3 linked regions of the Lonchura striata genome follow. The protein of the gene in region 1 interacts with the protein of each later gene in a pairwise test. Links are inferred from orthologs where the notes say so. Each region holds a gene or a part of one and is shown in the gene's direction. Other genes may lie near its edges.

Region 1 (7,772 bases):
TAAAATGTGTTTTTTCTTCCTTCAGATAAGAGGTGATTAATTCAAAATCTGTTAAGGTAAACTTGGACTTAATCATGATACAGTATTTTTAGTAAGCTCACATTATTAATAGATTCAGACTTTAGTCAAGTTAAAAGTATTTTCTGGATGCACTACTCTCACTCTTTAGTAAATCTGCTCTAAGGGATTTGTTCTGTGGTGCTGAAGGAGCTGAGAGGGTTTAAATCACAACTTATGAATTAGACCTCATCAAATAACCATCAGTCCCTCTCATTTCATTCCATGTTAGCTGGCCATCCTGCAATTGTATGGATCTACCGCTATATCTGGGACATGCATAGATCTAAATCTCCCTTGAGGCCCTACACACTTATAGAGCCTGAGGATAACAACTGCAGAAATGCTGGTCTTATTTCTAGAAGTACTGATTTTATTTATTTCTCATTAAATCACCAAATAGGATGCCCTCAATCATCAGGAAAGGCCTGGTTTTTGGATGGGTAGTATCTATTAAAAAAAGACTGCAATTGCAGCCTTGCAGTTGCCTCCCAACAAATAACTTCCTATAAAAAAACACCCAAAACCCAGGAATGACAACTTACTGTATTGAAGAAAACCTTTCAAATGCAGAATGATAACAAAGAGGTCAGAAACAAACTAATATTGCCATCAACTATTAAAAACCTAACTTGTGACCTGTATGTCAGCAGTTAAGCCCTGATATTGCCTGCGGCCACAGAAGTTGAAACTGAGGCAATGCAGGCTGAGTGCAATTTGCTTACAGCTTTTCATTTGATCAGTACTTCTGACAGTAGTAACCTAGAAAATTCAGTGACTTGTACTGTAATACGTCATGTTTTAACAGTATACTAAGCATTTTATGACCAATGCACACATGCAAGTAAAAGCACCTGCCAAAAGTACTCAGGACATGGAAGTAGAGGGAAATATATCAGTCAAAAAAACCCAGAAACATCAATTAGATCTTTTAAGGAGACAAACATACCCCAAAAGTTGCTCATCATCACGCTGGTATGCGTGGCTGCTGGACAGGAGGACAACCCTGGCAAATTTGCTGCTCTTCACCCAAGAAAGCAGAGTTTCACAGAATGGCCTGTACTTGTTCTTCATGCAAAGACACAGACAAAAAAGTGAAAAATTTAATGTGTCCTTAACAATACTAGGTGTTACATATAGTATTTAGCAGTGACGTAAATTATTCTTCATATCCACTTAGTTTTCAGCCCCAGATATATTAGAAAGCAGAGAACTGCCCTGGTTGTTTACTTAAGCAAAACTACAAATAGAATTACAAGAATTATCTCTAAGACCATGTCAAGAACAACAGTACTACCTGTTTTGTGTGCCGTTAATACCAAAGGAAAAAGATTTAGAGCAGGATGGGATGGCAGGATCACACAGTATTTTTCCACACTTTGAACTGCTAAAATACTGCACTACAATTTTCTTTTCTGTGGTGGCATTCTGCTTATTTTAAATTACAGCCACTGCCCAATTAATGAGTAATACTAAATTCCTCATTTTTACCAAATGAACATTGTTTAAATGAATATAGAATAATATGAAATAATTAAATTGGCATAACACAAAAAAGAATAAAGCTATTACAAAGAATACAGAAAAAATATAAATGCAAAGGAAAAAATAAACAAACAAAACCCAGACCATTTTGTATTTTCATGACTCTTAATAACTAAGGAGATATTAGCACTAAAATCTACCAACACAGGCAGCTGTTGTGGGGCTTGGAAAAACAAAATGCCCAAACTGATGATGCAAAATGCCTCAGCAAATGCAGAAATCAGTAAAACTTTACCAACTGCAGAAGGTGTTACAGCCTGAAGTAGAAAAATATTTTTGCCAGCAGAACTATTCAAACCAAACAGTGAAGTAAAAATGATCGATGAACATACATACCTTTATAAAAGGTGATCTGATCTGCAGAACTACAAGTTTCTTTGAAGGTAAGGAGTACACTACAAGAAGAAATCATTGTCATATTAAGCAGAAACTGAGAATCTGGGTTTAAATATATCAAGAATTACCCCACTTACAAACTTCAGGATAGTAAAGTAAACCTTTCAGTTATCAATTCATACGGGAAAGCCTGACAACATCCACTGTGTTAAAACCACATATTTCTGTGCATTGTACTTTCAGTTGTACTAATTTAAGGACTGAATTATGAAACATATATGAGGATTTGCCTTCTGTAATGATTCAGATTATGTATGCATCTTTGCAAAGATTGCCATATTATTCTGAGATTTCTGTGATTTAAGAGGGTAAAAAAAAAGGAGATACAATGATGAATGTAGGGAAAGAAATTAAGAATTTGTAGGGGGAGTGGGAGAAACATTACACAGGGAAAAAGGCAGAGGTATGTAGGAAAGAAGAAGAGTGGATAAGTATCTTTCTAAATGAGAAATTCAACTTGTATTCCAATAATTTATTTTAAGTATGTGCACACTTCATATTGCTTTGGATTAATACCACAGAGAGTTCTGGTTGCACTACAATATGGCTCAAACATTCTAAATGTCAAATTGGTTTTCCAAAATAACAACAGGAACAGTTTCATTTGTGAAATATGAATACATTCCTATCTGTAGGTTTCTGCAGCTGTTATTACTGCCCTTAATTTAAGCACATCAGCAAAATTTAACAACAACGAAAAAGAAAATGTGATGTTCTTGCATCTTATGTCCCTTGCAAACGCTTGCAGTATTCTATACCCACCTTCAGCATTTATACTCAGCTCCATTGAGTTTTCCTCTGCTGTTGCATATGGGTTATTTCCAACCATTGGCACCAGGCAATCGGTATAGAAGTAACCAACTTTAGTCATGTCAAGCGTGGAAATCACCAGATCTATTGCCAACTGACCGACATTCCCCACGGACACGGCTGGCTGAAGTAACAGAACGAACCGAATTACAGCATACTTCATGGATGGCATAATGTGCTCTTCAAATAGTGAAACCTTAAAATCTGGTCAAACATCATTTCTGAAAGTGGCTGCTCATCCTCTGGCAAAGGTGACTATTTCCTACCAGAAGAATTGGTAAATACAGGATTTGGTCTCTGTCCGACAAAAAACATCCTGGCCAGTTCTGTGAATAATCCTGTCTAATTGTAAACTGAAAGAACAGCTTGGAAACTTACCTCCTTCCCCACATTTTTGGATTGAGAGTAGGTAAAAGTCACTCAAGTGACTGATGTGAGACTGGCTCACATGATGCCCAAAGGCAGCTCTGGTATTACATGTTAAGCCTCTAAATCTCAGACTGACTCATAGACAAGAGTATGTAATTTTACATATTTTTTAAGGATGAAAATTATAAGGGTGCCCTTAAATTAATTTCATAAGAATTGCTACGGGTTATCATCGATCGGGGCAGATACTGACCTAATATGACGACACGGAAAGAGAAAGTAAAGAGTCAGTGTCCTTCCAAAGAAACTATTACGGGAAGACTACCATAAACCGCTCGGTTGCTTTCCTCTAATTTATAATCACATCTAAGAATTACTGCTGCTGCTGCCTGTTGGGGAAAGACAGCGGATTTGAGGCGGACAGAAGATGAAGGGGGCCGCGGCAGCACTGCCGTGCCCCCGCCTGGCTGGCACCCAGCTGCCCGCCCGCCGCAGGCGCGCAGCTCGGCAGGGATGCGCTTCCTGGCGCTCGCCAGCGGAGCGGGAATGACTCCCCGGCAGCCGTGCCGGCAGTGGAGCCGCCTGGGCGGCGGCGCTCCTGCAGCCAGCGCAGCGAGGCCAGACCAGACGGCGTTCGTCCCTCCGCAGCCTGCAGCTCCCGCCCGGCAGCGTCGCCTCGGGCACGTCACCCGGCACCGGTGTCACGCGCGATAAAAACACTTCCGAAAACAATCCTAGTCCGAGATTTAAATGTAGCAGAATGGCTTTTTAAAAAAAACATTTGAAGCATTTATATATCACATCTAAATTAAAAAAAAAAAAAAAATCCCAAGCTTTTATTGCAGTGACAACCCACGGGTGCTGCAAATCCAGTAAAAGCACATAGGGCGCGTTAATTTTTAGAGCAACAGCGTATAGCTATAGCTCCGAAATAGCATATAGTTATTGCTCTAAATTAAAATATAGCTTTTGCAGCTCGGCACGGATCGTCTTGACAGGGGCAAACCCGGGGTTCTGAGGAGGGAGAAGCCGGCAGAAAAGGAGAAGACCGCGCTAAGCTCTGCCGCAGACAGAGCCCTCCAAACCCTCTTTTCCCAGAACACCCCACAGATTCCACACACACCGCCTGCCCTGAGCTTTCTCCGCTTATCCCGCGGCCAAGCGCCCAGGGACGAGCCTCGGGCAGGGCAGGGACCGACACCAGAACCCCGTGGGACATGTCCCGTCCCACAGGAGCGGAGCGGAGCCCTCGGCACAGGGACCGCGGGCAGCGAGCCCTCAAACGCACCGAGGGCGAGGGCGGCGAAAGGCGAAGCAGGAGCGTGACTCACCATCAGCAGAGTGAACCCTTTAAAGTCGGGGGCGGCGGAGCCCCCGCCGCGGCCGCACGGAATGAACATGCCGGCCGGGAAGGGAGGAGAAAGCAGGCAGTGAGGGAAGGAAGGAAGGAAGGAGGGAGGGAAGGAGGGAGGGAGGAAGGAAGCAGGGAGGGAGGAAGGAAGCAGGGCGCGGACGCCGCACCCGCGTGCCGCCGCCAGGGGGCGGCGGCGGCGCTGCCCGCGCTGGCTGCGGGGCGGTTGGGCTCGCTCGGTGGCGGTGCCGCCATGTCGCTGCCGCCGGAGAAAGCCTCGGAGCTGAAGCAGATCATCCACCAGCAGCTGCTCAAGGTGGGCCCGGCGCCGGAGAGACTTCCCCGGCCCTCAGGGAGCTGTGCTGGCCTCCGTGCCGGTGTCACCCGGCCGCGGGTGGCGGCGGCGCCCGCTCCGGCGCCCCGCTTTGTTTTCCCAGTTGGGTCGCTGCAGGTGGTTTCCAGGCGCCGCTTGGTCGCTTTCCTGTTGCTTTTTGAGCGAGGGTCTTGAACTGGCCGGGGAATAAGTAAGGAGGCTGTAACTCCTATAGCGCTTGTTAGTGCAGTGGTGAATATTCCTGCCCGTCACAGGAGAACGGGGATCTTGGAGTGAGTCCAGAGGAGGCCAGCAAGATGATTAGAGGGGGGCAGCGCCTCTGCTTGAGGAAGGCTGAGAGAGCTGGGATTGTGCAGCCGGAGAGGAGAAGGCTCGGTGGGAACTTCATAGCAGCCTTCTGAGGGGAGCCAGCAAGAAAGGAGACAGACTTTTTACCACAGCGTGTAGTGACAGGACAAGGGGAGATGGATTCAAATTGAAAGACATATTAGGAAGAGTTTTTCACTGTGATGGGTGTTGAGGGACTGGAGCAGGTTGTGGATGTCCCATCCCTGGAAGTGTTTCAGGCCAGGCTGGGTGGGGTTCTGAGTGACCGGATCTAGTGGAAGGTGTTCCTGCCCATGGCCAGGGTTTTGGAATTAGATGATCTTGAAGGTGTTTTCCAACAAGGTCGTTCTGTGATTCCGTTTCAGGTCCTGGTGACTGTGTCCTTCGCAGCCTTCCAGTGTGAGAGTCAGCTCTATAAATCCATCTGCTTTCACAGCTCAGATGATGGGCATTCTCAGACATCCCTTTGAGTATAGGGAAAGCTTGCAAAGGAGATCTACTGCTTTTGTGCCCAACCTATATAATGAATATTTTTTCCCCTTAAAAAATAAGGAAGTATTATATTAAGGTTGAATTTTGAGGGAGACAAGAAAATGGAACAGTGACCATTTTGTAATTTATGTATTTCCAGACCTTTTTGTAAGGGGGGACGTTCCAGATGAGTTGCTGTCAAAGAGCAGTGAAAATGCCAAGGTTTTGTATGCTTGTAATTTTTTTTTACTGGGAGAGTTGCTTTTGTAAGATAGTGGCTCATTTGATTAGTTGTGCAAGGATCAGTATTTTGATATCGTTATTTCTGTGTTCTTAGGAAAACACCATTAGCCTTACAGACTTAATTGGTAAGTTGTACCTGCTGCCATACAGAGGGCTGGTGTTTGTAGCACATAATGAATTTTCTTTCAGATGGATGTCCATGGGAGGATACGAGAAGTTCTTGCTGAGACTGTACGAGAAGAGCTGGCGCCTGAGCAGCAGCAGTTGTCCACAGAAGATCTGATAAGAGCCCTAAGACAGCGGGGAATCATTGATGATGTTATGAAGGAACTTAAATTTGTAACTGTAAGTAGCTTTTTAAGAAGGGAAATATTTCTGCTTATTCCTCTTACTGCCGTGGTTTTTCGACAAAGTGAAACCGCTGCTTCTGGAGTTTTGTAAGGACCTTACTGATTTGAGACATTATAGGAGCAGAGAAGATTAATGCACATGCTGAAATCGGTTTGGTGATAATACTGCACTGAAAATATTTGTTCAGTTTTAGAAGGGAGTATACCTAAGGAATGGCATTCAGACGAAATGGAAGATCCTTTAATTTTTAGAAGACTGTGGTAAGAGCACTGTTGCATCCCTTGAGTCCTTAAAAAGTCTTAATTGTAATTCCAGGATGTGAATGAAACGGAGAGGACTTTGGCTCCAAAACCATCAACACATTTTGTTGACAGAGAACCACCAGTTTTGAAAAAAAGTATGTTTCTTGTTTATTTAAATGTTTAGATCATGGTTTTAAAGCAAATTTGAAGTCTCTGATTTTGGCACTCTGAATTAGTAATCCAGTATGAACTGGAATAAAGGTGGATGTTTCCTCTGCTTATCCACAGGGAGTAAACTCATGTAAGCAGCAGCAATCAGTGTTGCATTAAATATTATTTATTATTAATTCATTTACTTTACACAAAGGTATATTTTAAAATCACTTTCTTCTAAGCATGTTTCAAAGAAGTTTAATTTTTTGCTAGTGTCCTGTTAGTTACCTGATATTTAACAAATTAAGCTTTCTAAGATCTGTTTGTAGTCTCTTCATTTTTATTGCTACGCTTTGCAGCTAACATTGACCCAACACGGAGGTATCTTTACCTTCAGGTTTTGGGTGGAAAAGCTTTTCTGGAACATCTTCAGGAACCAGAGCCTCTGCCTGGCCAGATCTGTTCTACCTTCACTCTGTGTTTACATTTTCGAAACCAGCGCTTCCGTTCCAAACCTGTACCCTGTGCCTGTGAGCCAGATTTTCAGGATGGTTTTCTACTTGAAATACACAAGGATACCCTAGGTAAGGAATATTGTGGGTTTAAAGCTGATGCTGTTGGGATTTCTTCTGACCTGAGAGTTATTGTGAAATATGTTTGGTATTATTTAGTGAATTTTTTTCCTGGTTTTTGTCATGTTTTCCTGAGAAAACTGATTACTGTATTGGGTTATACCCCTTGTAGATCTTTCTCTGCTCTTGCTCTTTTCCTTCTTTTTCACTCTAAAATAACTTGAAATTGACCAGCTTTATAAATTCTTAAATGTTAATTCCATTTATATTTTTTGTGTATCTGAACTAGTTGCATTGCAGTACTCAACTGCAAAATAATTTTATCTTCTCTGTAATCTCTCTGTAGCTCTGTCCTAAAGTGAGTATGGTGTTAGAGATAGGATCATTGTTTACACTTCTGGACTCAAGGTCTTTCTTTATACTTATTACAGACATTGCATTTTGTTGCATACTGTTTTAAAATTCTGAGGAGAACTTGGGATGATAATATTCTTGTTGTTTTATTTTGGTTTAATAATGGCAGGTGATGGAAGCAAGATGGTGGATGCAAC
Region 2 (7,048 bases), about 59 Mb from region 1:
ATTTCTTGATAAACTCAAAGAGAAATAATAAAATTCAGCATCATAGTAACAGCTTCAAAATACATAATAATAATAATGATAACAATTTTGATCCAGTGGTCTTGATTATGCTATGCAGTTTTTACTATCAGTAGGCCAGGTGCCTGTGACACTTATAAAATCTAGCTTTCAACATTTGCCACTGTGGAATGGCACATTCAATAGACCTGCACAATTTAGTCTCATCTATCTTCACATTTTTCTCTTAGTTCTGAAAGAAGAGCCTAGAGCAGGTGAAGTTTTTGGGAGGTTTTGTTTTGTTTGTTTTTTTAACAGAATTTAAATGGGATTGGGAGTCCTAGAAGAATTAAAATAATGTTCAGAATGTCAATCATCCTAGAAATTAAATTGTGGGATTTTCTTTCCAGTATTACTTGTCCCAGGTGATCAATGCATCCATTTAAATACTACTTTTAAAAGGCAAAAGTAGTAGAAGGAGATACTGCAAACAGAATATAAACTCTGAAGTTCCTTAAATACAAATGTGCAGGGCCAGGAGTTGAATTTGATGATCCTTGTGAGTCCCTTCCAATTCAGCATATTTTGTGATATCACATCTTAATATCAGCTACTGACTACCAGTTATTTTTATACATTTGTCTCTATAGGCAGATTTCTTTTCTCTCTGTGGTGTTACCATAATGTTTACAAACAAAACCTCCAATTTTAATTCAAACTCTAAGTAAAGAAAAAAACAGCTAAAAAAATCACATCAAAACTGTTAGAGAGCAGAATTTAATGCAGCATTGTATACTATAACAACGTGTTTCCAATCTGACCACTGCAAAAAATTAGACCTAATGCACTACATCTTTAGAAAGGCTTAGCATAGTAGTTGCCAAAACTTGGGTGAAAACAGCAGTAATTATGAGATTCTGGAAATTATTACCTGTGTTGTTTCCATATTTGCAACATAATCAAAAGTGAAGATCTTTGGCTCAGGCTTTGAGTGCAGGCGGATGGTATTTGATGAAAGGACCGATAAACATAGGCCATGATCTCCATCAGTTAATACAGTTCTGTCTGAAGGGGGACGCACCCTTACAAAAACTTTGATAGCATCACCTTCAACACTAAATAAATGTTTATGCATTAGATTACTTCCAAATAGATCAGATGTCTGATAAAATCAAATTGAAACAATCAGATGAAGCATATGAAGCCTTACAAAGGTCCGTCCGAAAATCATTCTACTTGTAGACAAAAACAATAGAAGTAGAAATGTGGCAGATTTAAAGAACAACGAACATGCAGTTACATGCAATTTATTGCTGTGGCAGTTTGCTTTGCCTCTAAAAGAACACATTGCACAGTGAACTTGAGATGCCCTTCTTACTCCTGGAATCTTTAATGAATCAATGGATAAGATAATGCTATGGTCCAGCTAAAAAGTTGTTAGCATTTTTCTTTGGTGCTTACAAGACAGGGAAAAAGAATAAATTCGTGATCAATGAATCAAATAAAGCATAGCAAGTTCTGCATCTAAAATATCCCTAACCAATTTCATCACATTTATCAGCTTTAATAAGTAACTGTGCATGACTTTACATTAAGGCTCTGAAGAGTTCTGCCGTAAATACCAATACACCCATAAAATATTAAAGAATTAAATTCTTACATAAAGTGGTAGCAAACTTGGATTTACTTTACTTCATTATGTTCCAAAAGTTTTAGCAGGAGGGTGTTGCAACTGCTATTATTACTTTTGGTAACAAGAGAGAAGAAAAGTTTTAAAAGTGGGGAAGGGTCTTCATGAACGAAATGTGCAGTTGGGTAGTGACAGAGGAAAGGGTTCCAAACATAAGCAGCAGCTGAGAAAGGGATGTTATACTGGATTTAAGACACACCAAATTAATTTGCCAAATGTGCTTTCTTTGTATAACATTATTCTGAGTTATGGCACAGTTTACACTTGGAGGAGGGCTTTTTGGCTTTTGTTTTAGTTTAGGCTTCCTCACAGGACCGAAGTTCCTAGTGGGATATTTCTTCATATAAACTCTAGAGCTCAGCTGCAGAATTAGTTGAGAAATGAAAATTTATTGCATGACAGCATTACAAGAGGAACCCAACGTGTCAGTGTAACAGTTTTATTATGAGTACGTTATTTTTAAAGCCTGTAAGGATACTGGGAGAGAAAGACAGCAATCTTAGGCAAGTAAAGATTGAAATAAAAATCTTTAAATTATCTCACAAAGTTATGCTAGGCTTTATTTGCACTTTCTGTGCAATGTGATTAAAAATATATGGGAATGGCCAATATTGTTTTACCTAGATGAGTTCAATGAAGATATTGAAGAGTCACGCAGATCTCCTATAAAAGAAAAGAGAGACACACAAAAATTACAATAAAATTACTGCTCCAAACTCCTCACTTAAATAGAAAATACTGTAAGCAGGACAGAGGGAAATAAATGGAGAGCCTTATAAATACCTGTTTTATGCATGAACAGAACTGCATTAAAATATTTGGTAATTACCTTCCTTTGGCAGAAAGATTTCAGTTTTTTACAGAGGAAGAGAAAGCTCCAGTCCTTTAATGTGAACATTACCAATGTGCCATTTGTGAATTTGGCAAAAAGGAGGCTCTGGGAGACCACTCTACAACTGCCTGGAAGGAGGCTGGGGTCACGCTCTTCTCCCACGTGATAGGACAAAAGGACACAGCCTCAAGCTTTGCCAGAGGAGGTTCAGACAGGACATCAGGAGGAATGTCTTCACTGAAAGGCTTATTAGATATTGGAATGGGCTGCCCAGGGAGGTACTGGAGTCGCCATGCCTGGAGGTGTTTGGAATGGCACTCAGTGCCATGGCCTGGTTGACAAGGTGTTGGTCAGTCATAGGTTGGATTCCATGATCTCAGAGGTCTTTTCCAACCTCACCGATTGTGTGAGTGAGGCTCATTTTGCACAGCTTCAGATTTCAAGGTGACAGCACATATTACCCCATAGGTAGATAAAGTGACTTATTTTTTACTTAATCTGACATCAAAGTACATAATATAGCCAAAACATTAACTAACAAAACTAACAAAATTGTATTTAGAAAATAAGAAAAATAACAATGAAAGACAATGCCTCAAAATATTCCAATAATAAAGTATTTACAAAATCCTTAAAAGCACACAGGTTTTTTTTTAGGAGGATCACCTTTAACCTTCTCTTTGACATTCATACTACCCAAATATCCTGCTGCTGCATGAGCTTTTTACGTGCTGCTTTGACTTACTCAACATCTGAGAAATATTTTCACTTCTAATTAAGTAATTTATTCTTCAATTGCACAAGTTTTCAAGGAAAGGAGTGCAGTTAAAAACTGAAGTCAGACCGATAGGTACTTGCACAGCCCTGGGACTAGCCTAAAATTGTGTAAACGGAGGTTTGGGCCGGATATTAGAAAAACTCTCTTCACTCAGAGGGTGGCTGGGCACTGGAACAGGCACCGCAAGGAAGTGGTCACAGCACCGAGCCTGACAGAGCTCCAGAAGTGTTTGGACAATGCTCTCGGGCGCACGGTGTGATTGTCGGGGGTGGTGCTGTGCACGGCCAGGAGCTGGACTCGATGATCCCTGTGGGTCCCTTCGGACTCAGCTTATTCTGTAGTTCTAGGAAAGGGCCGGCTCCCAGGTACCCCGACACCACCGGGGCAGCGCTCTGAACGCCCCGGAGCACCGAGGGGCACCGAGCCCCTCCGCACGGCTGCGCCGGGCCCCATGGTGATGCCCCGCCAGGGTACGGGACAGCGCGGCTCTCCCGGGCAGAGCCGTCCCCCGGTGCCCCCGCCTCCTCCCTGGACCGAGGGCACATCCCTAGGCCCCTTCCCAGCCGCTCCCTCACCTCTCACGCCGGGAGCCATGGCCGCTGGGACCCCGGCAGCTCCCGCCCGCCGCTCCAAAATGGCGGCGCCTTCGAATTTGGCGCTCAGCGGCGCGGCCCCGCCCCGCGCCCGAGCCCGGCGCGCGCCGCCATGTCGCCCGGCGCGCGGCTGCGCGGCCATTGGCCGCCAGCCCCGGCACGGGGGGCGCGCGGCCCGCCCGGGAGCGCGCGCGGCGGCGGCGGCCATGAGCAAGAGGAACCAGGTGTCGTACGTGCGGCCCGCCGAGCCCGCCTTCCTCAGCCGCTTCAAGCGGCGGGTCGGGTACCGGGAGGGCCCCACGGTGGACACCAAGGTAACGCCCGCGGCTGGGAGCGGGCAGCCCCCGCTTCCTGGCACTTCCCGGCGCTTCCCAAAGCTTGATGCCCGCTCCTCCCCGCTCCCTGCCTCTCGCGGGGGGGAAGTAGCAGCATTCCAGGGTTTTGTAACTCAAATCGTACGTGTAACTTGGTTTTGCTTGTGTGTTGGCGGGTCAGAACAACTGCAAGGCTGCAGTGGCGGCCGTGCGGAGCCCCGCTCCAGCCTCTCCGTGCCCGAGGCCTGTGCGGGCACGGAGGGAGCAGCGCTGATGTCCGAGCTTGAACCGGGCCTTAAAGAGCCCAGGGCAGTGCAGGAGGAGGCCGGTGTGGGGAAAAAATACTCTAAAAGTACTGTAAAAAAAATGATCGTAAAGGAGTTAAGATGGGTTCGAGCTAAAAGAGGGGAAATTTAGGTTCTGTATATGGAAAAAAGTTCTTAACTGTGAGGGTGGTGAGACAGGTTGCCTAGAGTTCATTGTGGGTGCCCCATCCCTGGAACTGTTCGGGCCAGGTTGGATAGCACTCTGAGCAGCCTGGCATAGTGGGAGGTGCCTTGTCCGCGGCCAGAGGGCTGGAACTGGATGATCTTTAAGGTCTCTCCCAACCTAAAACATCTTGCTGTAGGTCCGCGGTCATGAACTGTGTTGTGATGGCTGGAAAGGCAGGGCAGGGGCGGTAGGGTCTGAGCCAGCTTGTTGAAAGGCAGCTTTTCCTAAGGCACATGTTTTTTTTCTGCTTCCAGTGTGATTTAACATGTATTTCCTTCTAAATAGTATTTTACAGGGTATCTTAAGAAATGAACTTATCGTTTTATACACACATATATATATATATATTTATATATATACACATATTCAGTAGATTACACTAATACTGTCTATCCTTAAAATATGAAGTTTTCAGGTTCTCTGATATTGCCAAACTTAAGGTTGCTGCACTGAGGTTTCCATGCCAGAAGGTGTATTTTAAAAAAATAAAAAATTACCCCAATTGATTCTTCTGTCCCAGTGCACAAGTCAGAGAGAGTAGAAACAGGAGCATTTTCTTCCTTGTGTCAGTGCTGCTTACAGTGATTTGTTTAGCCGGGTTTAAGAACTCAGCCACCATGGACCCACATTTCCCTTTGTGCTGCTTTGAGTACAGCATGGAGGGTTCAAATTTGGACCTTAAGTTGTACAGCAGATTGTGCTGCACAGTCAAGATAGCGAAGAAAAAGAATTAATTTCTTGCTTTCCAAGTTCCTTCTGGTCTCTAATTGAAGAAGCCCGTACTCCCATGCTAATGTTTTCAGTAGGAAGCTGTGTCTGAGTGATAGAGTTGGAATGTCCTTTGGACAACGTGGTGGGAGGGCCTGGCACTGGCAGCTATGCCAAGTCTCCTCAATAACCTTTCTGCAAAAGTGAAACCAAGGAGTACTGACCCACAACTGGAGTGATGATCAGAATGGCTTTTATTTCTCCCTTGTCCAGAGAGAGCAGCTTCCACTTGCTGATGATGACAGTGACAATGGCAGTGACAAGGAAGATGAGCAGCCTCAAGTGGTGACACTGAAAAAAGGGGACTTGACTGCAGAAGAAGCAATGAAAATTAAACAGCAAATCAAAGAGGCCTTAAAGTCAAAAGAATCAGGTGAATTTCAACTACTAATTTCTTGCTTTTTGTAGTCAAAGAGATAACCCACAAAAGCGAGTCTGATACTTGCTCAGTTTTCTACTGTTTAATACTACCTTTGATTAGTTCTGAATTTTTCACCTAAATAATTTGTACTTCTGGTTCCTAATCTCAAGTCATTAAGTACATATTCAGGCTGTCTGGCTTTTTATAATGATGTGGTTCTGTGCTTCTTGATTATGCACCATCCTCCCTCTAAATAATCCCTTAAATTAATTTTTTTTGTATTTTTGTAAATTAATTTTTTGTTGTATTTTTCCGGTGAACAGTCTTTTGACATCACCTGTGATAATTTTTTAACTCATTGACTAGTTCAACCAAATTTGACAGTGGAGTGGATGATTAAAAGCTAATTGTATGAGTGCATGAAGGAGAGTGTCAGGGCAGAGGGATTCAGGTCTGTGCTTTGGTGGAAAGAATCGCAGATGCATGGCTTGGGAACACGTTCGCTTGCCTGACTGGTCCATGTTATTACTTGTTTAAAATCAACCCCAGTATGTGTTGTGACTTGCAAATATATTAAGCAAGATAGACAGATGATACAATAGTGCCAAAAACCATCAAGGTCCAGAAAAAATTGTTTCTCTGTGTCTTGGTTTAGGGCAAATTTGGGAGAAAACCTCCAAAAAGGGCCCCCCCCAGAAAGCAAACTCCCCCCAACCAGTTTGGGAAAAATTTCTGTGGAGAGAAGTGGAAAGAACCTGTTTATTTAACAGGCAAAGCACTCCCCAGCACAAAAAATGAACAATACCAGATGACAAAACTCATTTGCTGCTCTGAAGAGATGACAAATTCAGAAAGTGTCTCCTGGGAGCGGTCACTCTGTTATCAGTCCCTCCGGCACTGGGAAAGGCTGCTGCCCAGAGAAGGCCCAATGGCCACAAAGTGAGAGCTCTTAGTGCTCCCCAGGTCCCCAGTCTGGAGCAGGTTCAAACAGTTCTAAGAAAAGGGAAAGAAAAGACAGTTCAGTGAAAACTTCCCTGCCTCAGCTAGCTAAACTAAACTAAAAAGTAAAGGAGGGATCTGTTCTGCTCTGTCCATGCCAGAACAATCCAGTGCAGCATGTGGAGGAGGAATGCAGTTTCTGATAACAAACTCCATGCTTCTTCTCTCTGCCTTTGCTCTCAGGACCAGTCTTGATGGCACAGAATATAATATCCAGCATAAGC
Region 3 (7,167 bases), on another chromosome or scaffold:
TGATTTAGAAGAGATAGGGCTGGGAAAGCACACAGCAGCTGTACTACGATTTCCTTTTTTCTCCGCTGCTGTCTGCAAACTCTGGTGAACTGTTTTTCCAATTGCACTGGCAGTCATTTTATCTGTACAAATTAAAACGTTACTTGGCTCCCTCAAAACTCTGCTCTTCTGTGTCAGAAGAGAGCCAGCATCTTCTCTGTCTACAAGTGATGACATCCCAGTAAAATTCACACATGCAGAATCCAGAGCACCAGCATCTTCTGACTCTGTGGTTCCTGCTTTGGCAGCAGAAGAAATAAATTCTAGCTGTTCAGTCTCCTTGTAACTACAATCAAAAGAGGACCCACCATCTAGATGGTTCAGTGTATTTTCTTCCTCACAGAGGGTTTTTCTAGTTATGAAATTTTCCATTTTTGCATGCTCATACTGAGGCTTCCTCTGTAAGAGAAGTCCATCAAATGTTTTAAACACCACAGAATTGGAGTCTTCTTCTGAGTTCTGCACTTCAAATAATTTATTCTGTGATACTTTTACTTTCTCCTCTTCTTCCTCTTCACTTTCCTCAAATGTACTTAGTGGTGAGTAAGAAATTCCACAGTCATTGAAGTCCACTCCTGACTGCAGGAGACCTGGCTGACTTGTATCTTTCTCCATACACAGATGTTTTCCTGTTTCACTTTCTTGAGAGGATGCAAAATCAAAAAATTCAAATGTACAATGATTATCTGCCCTCTGTGGAAGCTGAAGTGTCTGTTGAGATTTTTCAACACCTGCAAAAAAGGAAGTACTTCCACTAATTATATTTAGGGACTTCATTTGTGGTGAATTCCGTACCATTGATGCACAGTCATCATTTGGGGTATGCTTTATTTCAGTAGAGGGTTTCTCATTCCCTGAGGTTTCCTCTGCATAACTTGGGGAACAGCTGGGCTTTGCAGCAGTAGAACATGTCATCTTCATCTCCACAGTGGTTCCCAAAGGGTTTACAAGATACTCCCCTGCCCTGTTTGCTGCAAGCAGAAAATGGCTGTAACGCTTGTAGTGAGATGGAATGGTGGAGGTGCACTGTAAACCATCAGGACACTCTAGGGGAAGAATCAAACAAAGGAGCAATGTTAATACCTTTGCAAGTATAGTTGTCACAGTTAAAATAAAAATTTAGGAGCTTTTTCTTGTAAATACAGCTGCTGGAGGACAGAAGGCACAAGTAAAAAGTAATTTTCAAACTATCAAGGCCTCTTGCTCCAAGCTGAGCAATGAGAAGCTTCCACCCTAAAAACAAACAGTTGCTGCTCATACAGCACTATGCCTGAATTATACAGCCCATTAACAAGAATACTTGACCCTGTTTCAATGCTGTGCTCCTGTAACCACATGGCTTCTGGTTTAGAATTGTTTCACATTCAAGCAACAAGCTCAAAGAAGTAGTACCAGAAAGAGCCAGTACACTTCAAATATAAGTAACAAACAAATTTCTGAATTAACCTGAAATTCCATTTTAAATTGTCTGATATTACACACTAAAAAAAAGAAAAAAGTTGTGCATTTACCTATAAGAAGAAAACATTCAGCATTGAGGTGATAGGAAAAAAAAAAAAAAATCCATACCACTTTCCTAGGCCTTTCCCAGTAACAAATTACCAGCCTAACTTTTCAGGCTTTTAAAGTGAACAACATAAACCCACCAGAAGGACTCTTCACCTGTTAATTAAGGGAGTAAGACAGAAACGAGGCGTTAAAACACCTGCCTTAAATTAAAAGCACTGCCAAAATCATCATGTAAGAATTTACATGTCATTTCTCTGAAGAAGAAACTCACGGAAAGTTATCAAAATGTAAAAAGAAGAATGGTTGCATTACCCAAAATAGCCTTTACTCACTTTTCCAGACTGTATGCTTTCTGTTTTACAAAAATTATGAGGTGTATTAAGCACATATATTGGATACCTGAATTTGTTTAGCTATGGTATTTCCCCATGAAACTGGAATTTAGAATGTGTCAGTTTTAGTCCTCTAGTACAGAGCTCAAAAGAAAACGGTTGTCTTATGATACAGGGATATTAGTCTATTTCTATTTAAAATTTCTAAACCATAGTGGGCCACAAGTTTATTAGCATATTTCAGCTTCCAAATGTCCATAGACAACGGAACATATCACATATCAACATGAATACAAGATAATAAAATCTATACTTAAGGAGATAGAGGCTTCATGTCAAAAGTAGCACCCTTGTGCCTGAAGGTTCTTTTCTGACACTGTCATTGTAACAAGTCTCATTATTTTAATGTGCACCTTCAGTTTGTTCAATGAAATACTAAAACTTGATAAACAGCCATGAAACTTTCTCAGAGGTTTGAGATTAGATTTTGAAATGAGATTTTCATGGCAGATTTCCACATTTTTCACAAAGAAGCAAAATTTCATATAAAAATAGGACTGATCAGTAAAACATAACAAAACATGATAAAAATCATACCAACTACCATTTCAGATTTTGAGCTGAATACAAAAAACGAAGTTTACAGCAACATTTTGTGAGAAGTTTGTAAGCTTTCTCTGAAGGCTTTCTTCTTACTCTATTCATACCTTTTTCAATGGGTCCTGGAGTTTCCAAACATTCATAGACGTGCCACTGAGGTGTCTGGACCAGCAGCAAAGAGAAGGGCATCTGGCAGCTGGGACAGAACCCATCGTGAACGGGCTTTGCATTTTGTGAGCTCTGTTCTGCCAGTCTACCCACACTTTCCTGCGAGGGCTCACTGCTGTCTTCTTTACATTGATCCACATCCTGACCTGGCCGTGAGCTCTGCTTGGTTTTCGGAGGTGTACCAGTTTTTTCTGTGGATTTCTTTTTCCTATTTCTTTTTCTTTTTGGCCTGCCTTTGCCAACACTTACTTCCTGCACAGTAGAGATGCTCTGTGAATTACTACAATGCTTTCGCTTCCTAATGGATTTGTACTCCCAAATGTCCTCTTCCAATAAAGCATCTTCAGACATGTCAACACATGAAATATTCCCCTTTCTTTTAAGCAACAGTTCACAAACCTGCCTTTCCCCCTGCTAATATATTTTCTCTTCCCTCCACTCTTCACTACCTGAGGAAAAGCTCCAGAAGCCCATGTTAAGAAAGCAACGCTGGGCCACAAACCAAGCAGGAGACCCTGGTGGGACAGGAGCATGGTCGATCCTACCCCAAAAATAAATTCAGCGAGCGTGTCTTTGTAGATTTGCGATTTCTCCTGTCGCACAGGGCTCGAGTCTGCAAAGCCTTCCAGGGTGAGCCATTTCCTTCAGCTTCCCCCCGGCATCGTAAGCTCCACCCGGCCTCGGCGGGGGCAGGAAGATTTTAAAAATTCCTGCCCGAGCAGAAAAAAAATTTAAAACAAAACGAGGCAAAATTCAGCTACGGGATCATCATCAGGGTGTCCCGGGACGCTCCTCGGCAGCGTCCCCTCGGAGTGCCCTGTGATGCTCTTCCAGAGGGTCCCGGTGCTGCTCCACGGTGTGTCCCAGTACCCGAGTGGCGGGGATGTCCCGGGGTCCCCCTGTGTCCGGGATGCTCGGTGGGATGTCCCTGGGATGTCCCGGAGTGCCCGGGATGCCGCCAGGGATGTCTCAGTGTCCCGGGATGTCCCTGGGCTGTCCCGGAGTGCCCGGGATGTCTCAGTGTCCCGGGATGTCCTGGTACCCGGGATACCGCCAGGGATGTCTCAGTGTCCCGGGATGTCCCTGGGCTGTCCCGGAGTGCCCGGGATGTCTCAGTGTCCCGGGATGTCCTGGTACCCGGGATACCGCCAGGGATGTCTCAGTGTCCCGGGATGTCCCTGGGCTGTCCCGGAGTGCCCGGGATGTCTCAGTGTCCCGGGATGTCCCTGGGCTGTCCCGGCTCCGGCCGGTCCCGCCGCCTCTCCCGCCGCTTCCCGCCGTGGCCGCGCATTCGCTTCCGCAGGTTCGTCACCGCCGCTGTCGCCCAGCTTCTCTTCTGTCACAGACTGCCCCCCTAGAAGAGCCCCAGATCCCACCCTTTAAATCACTGGACTCTGGTTTCGACTTTTTCCCGTGCTGCTCAATTTTTACACCTTAGAAACGGTAAAGCATCCTAGCGGGAAACACGGGTTGTGTTGAATCTGCTGCGCGGGAATCTCCACCGTGGGCTCGCTCTGGGAATGTGCTGCTGTGGAAACCAAGGATACGTAAAAACAGGGAATAAGTGAGGAGGTCCGGCTTTAAGACAGAGGAGTTATTGCGTGTCTGTGCCTTGTGTTTACTTTCTGCTCCAGCCGCGGGTTCCGCCCTGGCGGCGCGGCGGTGCCGAATGTGCGGCGGCGAAGCGCCAGGCGGGTGAGCACGGCCGGGCGATGGCGGCGGGCGGGCTGGCGGGGCTGCTGCCCGCCCAGACACAGCTCGAGTACGCGCTGCTGGACGCCGACACCGCCCAGGAGAAGGAGAACCTGGTCTACCAGTACCTGAAGAAAATGGACAGCCGCGAGCGGGACCTGGCGGTGCCCGAGCTCGGCGGAGGTGGGTGGCGCGGCCCGGGCGGGCTTTGCCGCGGGGAGCGCAGGGCCGGCCCCTGAGCCGCTGCGGCCGCGGGAATTGGCACTCCTGGGAGCACCGGGAGGCAAAAAGAAGCCCTTTAAACATCTTCTCCCTGGTACTGGCTGCAAAAACACTGTTCTGTAAAGCCTCTCTTCTAAGTCTGTTGCTGTCTGTACTGTGTATTTACGTGAGAACCTTACTAACTCTCCCTGCGTTCTCCTGAGCTCGCTTGGTTTCCCGGAGCATCCCTCAGGATGTTCCCCGGCTCTCTGCTCCATGACTTGTCAATTTTCCTGCCCAGGGCGATACAAACTCTGCTGGAGATGTCATTCGTCCTCCTGGTTTGCCCCTCACACATTTCTGTGTCTCTCCTTGTGGCAAGGAGGAAATCAAAGGTTAAGCCTTGTAAGGTTTTGCAAGTCCTGCTCAGGGTCTTTTTAACCTTTGAGAGGCTCCCTGCAGCTGTGGGAGCTCACGTCATACCGCCAGACAGGGAGCTCAGGAGGTGAACTTCAGGGTTAAAATCACCCTGGGTGATTTTAAAATTCATATCATGGGAATGAATTATAGCTTGGAACAAAAGGAGTGCTCTCTCTGTGTAGACTTGGGGCCCTGAATTGAATTTTAGATTTTGCCATTAGTGTTGTTTCAGTGTTCTGTCAAGGCTTATTTTGTCCTCTAAAAAGAGCTCAAATAAGTAGCAAATATATATGAAAGTTATTTTCTAGTGAAAAAAGAGAAATGCTGTAAAATATATAAACTACCCTTTTCTTTTAAAAACCGAACAGCAAAGCTCCTACACTGTGGAATAATGCATATACTTGAATTATTCTCATTATTCTCACCAAAATTAAACATGTGTGCATCCATTTATGTCTGTAAATACATGGAGACAGAGAACAGCCCTCCTCTTAGTGAAATGTAAAACAAGCCTCCTGCTGACTTGAGTAGGAATAACTTCTGGATCAGTAAGAACTTATTTTCTGAAAGTGTCAAAGTGAAAGTTCAAAAACTAGTTAGCTTTGCATTTTTATCATAACTATATTTTCCTTTTATAATTTTCAGAAATGCTAAGAGATAATACTGGCAGACTAAATTTTAGGATATTTATTCCTTATCTTGATACCTCTGATAGGATCAGAGGAGGAAAGAATGTTTTCATGTCTCGTGTCAAGTGGTTAAAATAAATGACCAGGTGTACTTTTGTGCATATCTGAAAAAGTTGTATTTCTTCCCATGTGACAGAATTAATTGATACATGTAATTTCAAACTTTGAATATCAAGATCAAACTTATAAGCACAAGAATATTGCAATGATCTCTGAAATCAATTCTTTAGAAAACTGTTGGAAAAAATCATTAAGAGTTTAACACTTTTAAACTTTTAGGAGCCTTTATGTGAGTTTTAAATTATTGATTGTTACCCACATGGCATTGTTGGGGGTTGAATAATGTAGATAATGTTATAACATATATGACATTTGTTCTGAGGCTTTCACGTAATTTCAAGTTAAAAGTGCCTATATAAAGATATAAACTACACTTTTATAATACAGTGAATCTTACTAATAATATCTTAATTTGCTAATTATGAAGAATTGCAGAACATAAGGATGAGTTGCATAAATAAGAAACTTTTTGTTTGCTTTTCTACCTGCGTAAAAGGGATGTCAAACTCTTTTTTTTTTCTTTTTTTTTTTTTTTTTAATTTTTTTTAGGTTAAAAGTACCAGGAACATTATGTGGTGTTGGTGCCTTTCCCTACCCTTCCCCTAACTGGCTACCACTGTTCTCTGAATTCCAGATCTGCAATGGTTAAACACTGAAGGTCCTATTTCTCTTCACAAAGACCTTTGTGGAAAAGTTGTGGTGTTGGATTTCTTCACTTACTGCTGCATCAATTGCTTGCACCTGCTGCCTGACCTCCATGCCTTAGAGCACCAGTACTCTGATAAAGGTAAAAGTACTTTGGCTGGCTTGGAATAGAATTTCCTGGCACTGTTGCAGGCTGAGGAGCTGAGTCACTTTGTTGCTGGTTACTGAATTGCTGGCAGTATTTCAGGGTTGTCTAAAAATGTCTTCTAATCTTTAAGTAGCCTAAAAAAGGTGACTGTGTGTACTTCCATCACATTTTTAAATGGGTTAAATAAAGTGCCTGTTGTGTCTGTGAAATTGGGCAAAAGGGATATGTGCTTAAAGCCCAAATCTGATACCTCTGTAAATAAGGTGACTTTCAAAAAGCTACTCAAGAATGTGAGATACAGGCTCAAAATTAATATGAGTAGGTAATTTTCTACTCTTGACTGAGGAACCAGCTCTGAGAAGAATATAGTAAAGGTGGTAGAGGGGATACAGATAGTTGTAGAATAAGATATAGATTACTTTTTTTTTTCATTGGAACTGAAATAACAAAATATGTAAGCTTGATATAGATTTTTTTTTTTATATTGGCATTATGTTGTATACCATTAATCGCCCTATATTCTAGAGGGGGGATTATGGTCTTTAATGTCACATCTGAAATGAGATCTGTCGATCTGTCTGTCACTGACTGAATAAAAATGCAGGGTAATTTCTGTTTAGAATGCAGTGTCTTGTCATGATGGCGTGTTAGAGATAAGCTGTAG

The links. The genes of interacting proteins can lie anywhere in the genome.
Region 2: the proteins of CEP76 (region 1) and KIAA1143 interact in binary tests that used the Homo sapiens proteins (3 or more experiments, as listed by UniProt). The two-hybrid records come from large-scale screens. The link is inferred for Lonchura striata from reciprocal best matches to the Homo sapiens genes CEP76 and KIAA1143.
Region 3: the proteins of CEP76 (region 1) and NHLRC2 interact in binary tests that used the Homo sapiens proteins (3 or more experiments, as listed by UniProt). The two-hybrid records come from large-scale screens. The link is inferred for Lonchura striata from reciprocal best matches to the Homo sapiens genes CEP76 and NHLRC2.

Annotation. Positions count from the first base shown.
Region 1 is NC_134603.1:53,164,043-53,171,814, reverse strand, and holds the start of CEP76 (centrosomal protein of 76 kDa), read left to right. Parts: upstream 1-4,749; 5' UTR 4,750-4,781; coding exon 4,782-4,844; intron 4,845-6,092; coding exon 6,093-6,248; intron 6,249-6,569; coding exon 6,570-6,651; intron 6,652-7,008; coding exon 7,009-7,233; intron 7,234-7,744; coding exon 7,745-7,772. Other genes in the region: PSMG2 (proteasome assembly chaperone 2), read right to left, coding at 1,007-1,125, 1,939-1,997, 2,761-2,932, 4,509-4,577. UniProt on the Homo sapiens protein: Centrosomal protein involved in regulation of centriole duplication. Required to limit centriole duplication to once per cell cycle by preventing centriole reduplication.
Region 2 is NC_134603.1:111,787,238-111,794,285, forward strand, and holds the start of KIAA1143 (uncharacterized protein KIAA1143 homolog), read left to right. Parts: upstream 1-4,047; 5' UTR 4,048-4,096; coding exon 4,097-4,204; intron 4,205-5,677; coding exon 5,678-5,837; intron 5,838-7,048. Other genes in the region: kinesin-like protein KIF15-A, read right to left, coding at 929-1,062, 3,873-4,032.
Region 3 is NC_134609.1:24,573,893-24,581,059, forward strand, and holds the start of NHLRC2 (NHL repeat-containing protein 2), read left to right. Parts: upstream 1-4,166; 5' UTR 4,167-4,360; coding exon 4,361-4,523; intron 4,524-6,344; coding exon 6,345-6,497; intron 6,498-7,167. Other genes in the region: DCLRE1A (DNA cross-link repair 1A protein), read right to left, coding at 1-1,085, 2,588-2,999. UniProt on the Homo sapiens protein: Required for normal embryonic development.